Linked DNA regions of Xenopus tropicalis. The protein of the gene in region 1 interacts with the protein of each later gene in a pairwise test. Links are inferred from orthologs where the notes say so. Each region holds a gene or a part of one and is shown on either strand. Other genes may lie near its edges.

Evidence for each region.
Region 2: the proteins of arrb1 (region 1) and gnmt interact in binary tests that used the Homo sapiens proteins (3 or more experiments, as listed by UniProt). The link is inferred for Xenopus tropicalis from reciprocal best matches to the Homo sapiens genes ARRB1 and GNMT.

The regions. Positions count from the first base shown.
Region 1 is NC_030678.2:175,782,967-175,787,266, forward strand, and holds the start of arrb1 (beta-arrestin-1), read left to right. Parts: upstream 1-1,210; 5' UTR 1,211-1,554; coding exon 1,555-1,700; intron 1,701-4,300. UniProt on the Homo sapiens protein: Functions in regulating agonist-mediated G-protein coupled receptor (GPCR) signaling by mediating both receptor desensitization and resensitization processes.
Region 2 is NC_030681.2:258,172-261,179, reverse strand, and holds the end of gnmt (glycine N-methyltransferase), read right to left. Parts: intron 2,403-3,008; coding exon 2,231-2,402; 3' UTR 560-2,230; downstream 1-559. UniProt on the Homo sapiens protein: Catalyzes the methylation of glycine by using S-adenosylmethionine (AdoMet) to form N-methylglycine (sarcosine) with the concomitant production of S-adenosylhomocysteine (AdoHcy), a reaction regulated by the binding of 5-methyltetrahydrofolate.

The DNA.
Region 1 (4,300 bases):
CACCCAAAGGTGTTTATACCACGTACTAGACCAGGCCTCACAACATGGCATTTATGGGCACAACTCCATGGCATATGGAACGGAAGTTGTTGTTGGCTTTTGCAGCCACTGCCTGGCACTGAGCTCTTCTGCTGAGTATTTTTCTGTGTTATTTTCATATCTCTCCATAGTTTCCCTTTGGGTGGTCCTTCTGGGGTGACACCCAAAGGTGCTTATACCTTCCGTGTACTAGACCAGGCCTCACAACATGGCATTTATGGGCAAAACTCCATGGCATGTGGAACAGAAGTTGTTGTTGGCTTTTGCAGTCACTGCCTGGCACTGAGCTCTTTTGCTGAATTTACTTCAGCATATCTCTCCATAGTTTCCCCGTTTGGATGACATTTAGCGGCTTTGATTTTATTCCCAAAATATAAACCAGACATTCATCTCCATGGATTGTGACCTTACGTTCACTCGCCCTGACTATTCCCAAACCCCTCAACGGAATTTATTTCTCTATTTTCTCCAGAGATTGATGCTTTTGGCCCACATCCAGACTTGGGGTTTTGTTTTTATAATACTCTTGTATGTGTTTTTGTATTTGTATGATTTAAAGGCAAAGTATTCTATTATTTGAATTGTGTTTTGTTTTGTTTATTTTGCCTGTTTCTGGTCCTGACTACATGCACCTCTCCCCCAGGCCTACACTCTAATTCCAACAGCAGAGATAGGAACCCTGCTTACTGGGCTGCCCTGGGAAATATGTTGTACAAGCAAAGCTAATTCACCTTTAAAGCATCTTGCCATACTTTCTTTATTTTGGTCCTGTTTCCATCATTTCCCACTGCTTCTATCCTGACCTACTGTCTCCATCTTGCCCTACTGTCTCCATCTTGCCCTACTGTCTCCATCTTGCCCTACTGTCTCCCATCTTGCCCTACTGTCTTCATTTTGCCCTACTGTCTCCATCTTGCCCTACTGTCTCCATCTTGCCCTACTGTCTCCATCTTGCCCTACTGTCTCCATCTTGCCCTACTGCCTCCATCTTGTCCTACTGTCCCCATCTTGCCCTACTGTCTCCATCATGACCTACTGTCGCCCTCTTGCCCTATTGACCATTGCCCTATCTTACCATTCTTCCTATCCCACTGTCTCCATCATATCTTACAATCCCCATTGTATCTTGCTGTTGCCATTTTGCTGGGGGGAATATTTGGGCCCCCTATCTCTGTCTCTGCATTCCCGCTGGCTGGGGAGGGTCTCACCCATACCCGCGGGAGGCTGCAGAGATTTGATATGCTGGTGTTGTGCCCGCGGCACGCTGTACTGCCGATGACGACACGAGCCAATCAGACTTGCACGCAGGGCATAACACAGTAAATGGGAGAATTTTGATGCAGCTGCTTGGATTGAGAGAGAGCGAGAGAGCGAGAGAGCGGCTGAGATTCCAGCCCGTGGGTAGTCGCTGCCATTGGAGAGAATAAAGGAATCAGTGGGGGGGAGAGAGCTGAGAGGGAAGGGACCGTCGCACACCTCGCTGGCTGGCAGGGCTGCAGTGATGCCGGTGCCTAGATGGATTACATGTGGATTGACAGCCCGTACCTAAGGATCAGAACCGTATTGGAGGAGTCGGTTCCTGCTTGCGTGGTGGCACCGCTGGGAATCCGCTGTGGGGAGCTGGAAGCCCACAAGGCCGCGCCAATGGAGAACGTATTTCTGTGAGTAAGGACAGGTCTGTGGCACAATGTGTGTCGGACTGGGCACAAGGAATCACCCACAGCGATGCCCCCTCGTGCCAACATGACCCCCGGGGTGTTACCTCTAATGAGCAAATCCCACTGTTATTCCCCTTAATGCCCGGTGCTTGCAGTGCCCCCTCTTTCTGTGGCCGGGCTGCCTTTAGTGCCCTGCAGTTTGTGTGGCCCCCAAGCTGTATGCAAAGGGACCCTCAGGGATTGGCTGTAACTGTAGTATAGTGTGTATAGTAAGGCAAGATGGGGCTCGGCATAGGGGCTACAGTGCTGGACAGTGTGCAGAATAAGGTAAGGTGGTGCCAGGAGAAGGGGCTCTAACTATGGCATAATGTGTATAGTAAGGCAAGATGGCACTCGGCATAGGGGCTACAGTGCCAGGAGAAGGGGCTCTAACTATGGCATAATGTGTATAGTAGGCAAGATGGCACTCGGCATAGGGGCTACAGTGCCAGGAGAAGGGGCTCTAACTATGGCATAATGTGTATAGTAAGGCAAGATGGCACTCGGCATAGGGGCTACAGTGCCAGGAGAAGGGGCTCTAACTATGGCATAATGTGTATAGTAGGCAAGATGGCACTCGGCATAGGGGCTACAGTGCCAGGAGAAGGGGCTCTAACTATGGCATAATGTGTATAGTAAGGCAAGATGATGGTAGGTGTACAGGCTGTAACTGGGGGGGGATGCTATGAAATGTAGAAATATGTAATAGGCTGCAGGGGGGCCCCGTAACTTGGCACAACCCTGCCCTGTTCTGGTATAGAGTTTGCACCCTTTGTGCACTGGCACCTCATTCCCAGTGGAACCCATTGGGCACGTAACCCCTAAAGGACTTGTGTCACTGGGAAGCTCTTGGAATACAGAAATGACGTCACAATAGTGCGGCCAATAATGTCATTTAATGGGGCTCTTGGCATTTTAGCAGCTATATGGTCGATAGGGTCCAAATTATCTTAGCAACCAGGCAGTGGTTGGAATGAGAGACTGGGATACGAATAGAAGTGGGACTGAATAGAAAGAAAAGTTACAGAGCTGTAACAATAAAACTGTGGCCGCACAGAGCAATGGGTCATTGGTTCCCAAGAGCACAATGGAGGCAATTCATTGGCTGAGTGACAGTGGGATGTGCAATCTGGCGGGGGGGGGGTGGGGGTCATATAATTAGATTAGGGCTGATAAGAGGATTAGCGTTAGGGAGAGTGGGATAAATATATAAGGCGCTTTGGCTGAGCAATGAAGCCTTTGGGGTAATTACCTTCCTTATCCGCTGGCCCAATCCGGGGCAACTGGAAGTGACCTGGATATTTAGGTGCTCTAATACCATCCAAGGCTGTAGTTGTATAACCAGGCACCCATGGGTGCTATAATTGGGCTCCCAAAACCTCTATTCGAAGTCTGGGAGCCCATTGGCCCTGTGACTTGTATCTTTCTGGGTGCAATTAAGGACTCAGCAGCAGGGGAGGGGGGTGACTGGTCTGGGGCCCAATCACAGTGCAGGGACGGGGCCATAGCCATTGTCATAGGACTGCAAAAGGTACAGGGTTTGCTGGTGAGATGGGCAGGGGTCTGGGCAGGTAAGAGGGTAACAGGGCAGACTGGGGGTTTTGCTATGTATGTACCTAGCCTTGGTTACATGGATTCTAGGGCTCAGGGCCTGTGTGTGGGCGGGGGGGCTAATAACCCAGGCTCCATTGTGGGGAAAGCCCTGCTGATAGCATGTGGCCCAGTCATCTGTCGGACCTGCCAAATATCCTGCATTTTTGCCCCCCGTATATTTAATGGTGATATAAACCCAGCCATGATGCTGCCCCACGGCGCCCCCTAGTTTTGCTATAGAAGCTGCCAAAAACCATCATTACAGATGCAAGGAAATTCCCCAATGAGAATTGTACTGATAAATAAGTTGATTATAAATGCAAAAGAACTGCCCAGTGAGAATGCTGATTCCCAGCACTGTGTCAGGCCCCTTGCTGGTACCTTACATATAGAGATAATGATGGCATTTTCTCCCCTCATTATATGGCACAGGAATCAGACATGGGGATAAAGGGACAGACTTGTTCAGTGCTGGGAAACTGTGCTTATTGCTCCCAACTCCAATTGCAGGAACAGAGAACAGGGAGCCGGATTTACTCACATCAGCTGGGATTCTCATTGGAGGATTTTTCGCATGTTAAAGCAGTCGCTGGCTGTGGGGATTTGGGGGAAAGTTTTATTGTGCAATATTGCTTTAAGAATACAGCCCTGATGTTGCTGGACTACAGCTCCCAGCATGCCCCAAGCTTCATTATATGTTACATTATTGTGGGATTTGTAGCCCAGTAACAACTGAGTAACGTTGGGTTGAGCCGCGCTGGGCAGCAGGGTTTGTATCCCCTTTAACCTTGGGTGAGCCAATGAGAGTACATGGTCAGGGAATAATCAGGAGTGGCTGGGACATGGCCATTAGGGGGGCACAGGGGGAGTCCAACCAGTTGTTATATAACTGCCCCCCCAGGTGAGCCTTTGCCCCCCCGCCAGTCATATGAGTGCATTTATTAGGTTACCATGGCGGCACCTTGGCACTG
Region 2 (3,008 bases), on another chromosome or scaffold:
GGGCTACTGTGTATGGGGGTACTGTGTATGGGGGGGAAAAACTGGTACTTAGTTATAACTGACTGCCTTCTCTCTATATTTGTATTTTAATGTAGGAGTTGCTATATTGTTTTTCTTAGGTCATTCAGTATGAGGGTATAGCACATTTTCGTCTGCTCCCGCCATTTGATCTATATAAAAGGGGTATTTTTTTTAAAATGGGGTGTGGTAATTGGGGCGTGACCACAAAAGGGGGCATGGTCAAAAAAAATTGCCGCGCTGCGCGCACCAAATCTTTTTGTCCCTCTTTTCATTTTTCAAATGTTGGGAGGTATGTGTACTTATTATATATCTCAGTCCTGACCTGTTTGTATCCAGCAGCCAAACAGTCTCTGGGCTTCAAGGACTTGTTCCCCTTTAAATTGCAGTTGGTTCAGCGGCTCTGCGCTTTGGAATTTCAGCAGCTAACAGGTTGCTAGGGTCATATTTAACCTAACAACCAGGCAGTGGTTTGAAAGATCAGAAATAACGGTTATTGGAAACGCCGGGAAGTGACCAATGAGAGACAAAGACACAGAGATCATTGTTGTGATGATTTATTTCCAATTAATTGTATAAATTCTGCAATTTAATGTACAGCTTTGGTTTAGCGTGTAACATATATGTACAATACGTGTCCCCGTGTGTCACATGTACCCAGTGTGTAGCCTTATACAGAGAGACATGCAGACCGGGGCAGAGACATGCAGACCGGGGCGGAGACATGCAGACCGGGGCAGAGACATGCAGACCGGGGCGGAGACATGCAGACCGGGGCAGAGACATACAGACCGGGGCAGAGACATACAGACCGGGGCGGAGACATACAGACCGGGTCGGAGACATGCAGACCGGGGCAGAGACATGCAGACCGGGGCAGAGACATACAGACCGGGGCAGAGACATGCAGACCGGGGCGGAGACACGCAGACCGGGGCAGAGACATACAGACCGGGGCAGAGACATGCAGACCGGGGCGGAGACACGCAGACCGGGGCGGAGACACACAGACCGGGGCGGAGACACACAGACTGGGGCGGAGACACACAGACCGGGGCAGAGACACACAGACCAGGGCAGAGACATACAGACTGGGGCAGAGACATACAGACTGGGGCAGTAAGGCCACAGATACCCCCGTACTGACACACGTGGGGAAGGCCACTAATTCCATGTTACACTAAGGTACCAATCTAGGGGCAACTAGAAAAGTACAGATTGTCAGACTATTTCGTATTTAGGCCACACCCACTTTTTGGCCCCTCAACCTTTGACCACACCCATTCAAGGTCACGGCCATAAAGTGCCACTGTTTAGCCAATAGCAGCCAGTGGGGGTCCGCACTTTTCCTGGGGGCCAAAGTGGGGGGCACGGTGCCACATACAGTCACACAGATTGGCATATACCCCCCCAGTCTATAGAAATCCTTATACATAGTCGTATGGAGACTGGGGGCAACTCCCCGACCCCCCGATTATGATTACTGGGGGTCCCACTGAACTAACGGCAGCCAATGAATGCCACAAAGCAAGATGACTGGCAGTTTGGGGGGGGTGGAATGAATAGATCAGTGATTGGAGCAGGAAGGGGGCGGGGGATGAATGGATCAGTGATTGGAGCAGGAAGGGGGCGGGGGAATAAACAGATCAGTGATTGGTGCAGGAAGGGGGCAGGGAATGAATGGATCAGTGATTGGTGCAGGAAGGGGGCGGGGGAATGAATAGATCAGTGATTGGTGCAGGAAGGGGGCAGGGAAAGAATGGATCAGTGATTGGTGCAGGAAGGGGGCGGGGGAATGAATGGATCAGTGATTGGAGCAGGAAGGGGGCGGGGAATGAATGGATCAGTGATTGGAGCAGGAAGGGGGCGGGGGAATGAATGGATCAGTGATTGGAGCAGGAAGGGGGCGGGGGAATGAATGGATCAGTGATTGGAGCAGGAAGGGGGCGGGGGAATGAATGGATCAGTGATTGGAGCAGGAAGGGGCCAGAGGTTTTGCCAAATTTCAGTTTCACAGATTGAAGCACAAAATCATTGCCGAATCCCTCCACCCGCAAAAGCGCATATTCTCGGGGCCCCCACCATCAGTGGGCCCTAATCACACTGGGGATTCCAATTCCCTTATAGGAAAGACACAGGGCCCCTGTACCCCGACATCAGCAGAGACCCCTCCAATATAAACAGCCATAGGCCCATAGGGATCTGCCCTGGATTAGGCGGTTCTTTTAGCCACATGGATGAAGTAACAGGGGGCCCTCTCCTGGCCAGGGGTATATGGCAGGAAGTCCCCATACACCTTGTGTTGGCATTGCCCCCCAAATGCCTCGTGCAGGAGCCCAGTGAAGGGATCCAGGAGGTGCGGGTAATAGGACAGGCGGAATTTGCTGCAAGAGAGGAAAGCGAAACATTACCCTGGTCATAGTGCTAAGTACCTACGGGTATGTAGGTAGGTACATGGGGGTATGTAGGTACATGGGGGTTAGGTAGGTACATAAGGGGTAGGTAAATGGGGGGTATGTAGGTACATGAGGGGTAGGTACATGGGGGTGGGTAGATACATGGGGGTAGGTAGGTACATGGGGGTAGGTACATAAATGGGGGGTATGCAGGCACAGGGGGTGTAGGTAGGTACATGGGGGGTGGGTAGGTACATGGGAGGGTATGCAGGTACATGGGAGGGTAGGTAGGTACATGGGGAGTATGTAGGCACATAGGGGTAGGTAGCTACATGGGGTGGGTAGGTACATGGGAGGGTAGGTAGGTATATGGGGGTAGGTAGGTACACGGGGTAGTTAGGTACATGGGGGTAGGTAGGTACATGGGGATAAGTAGGTACATGGGGTAGGTAGGTACATGGGGGTTGGTAGGTACATGTGAGGTCGGTACATGCGGAGTAGGTAGGTACATGGGGGGTAGGTAGGTACATGGGGGAGTAGGTAGGTACATGGGGGTGGGTAGGTACATGGGAGGTAGGTACAGGGGGTAGGTAG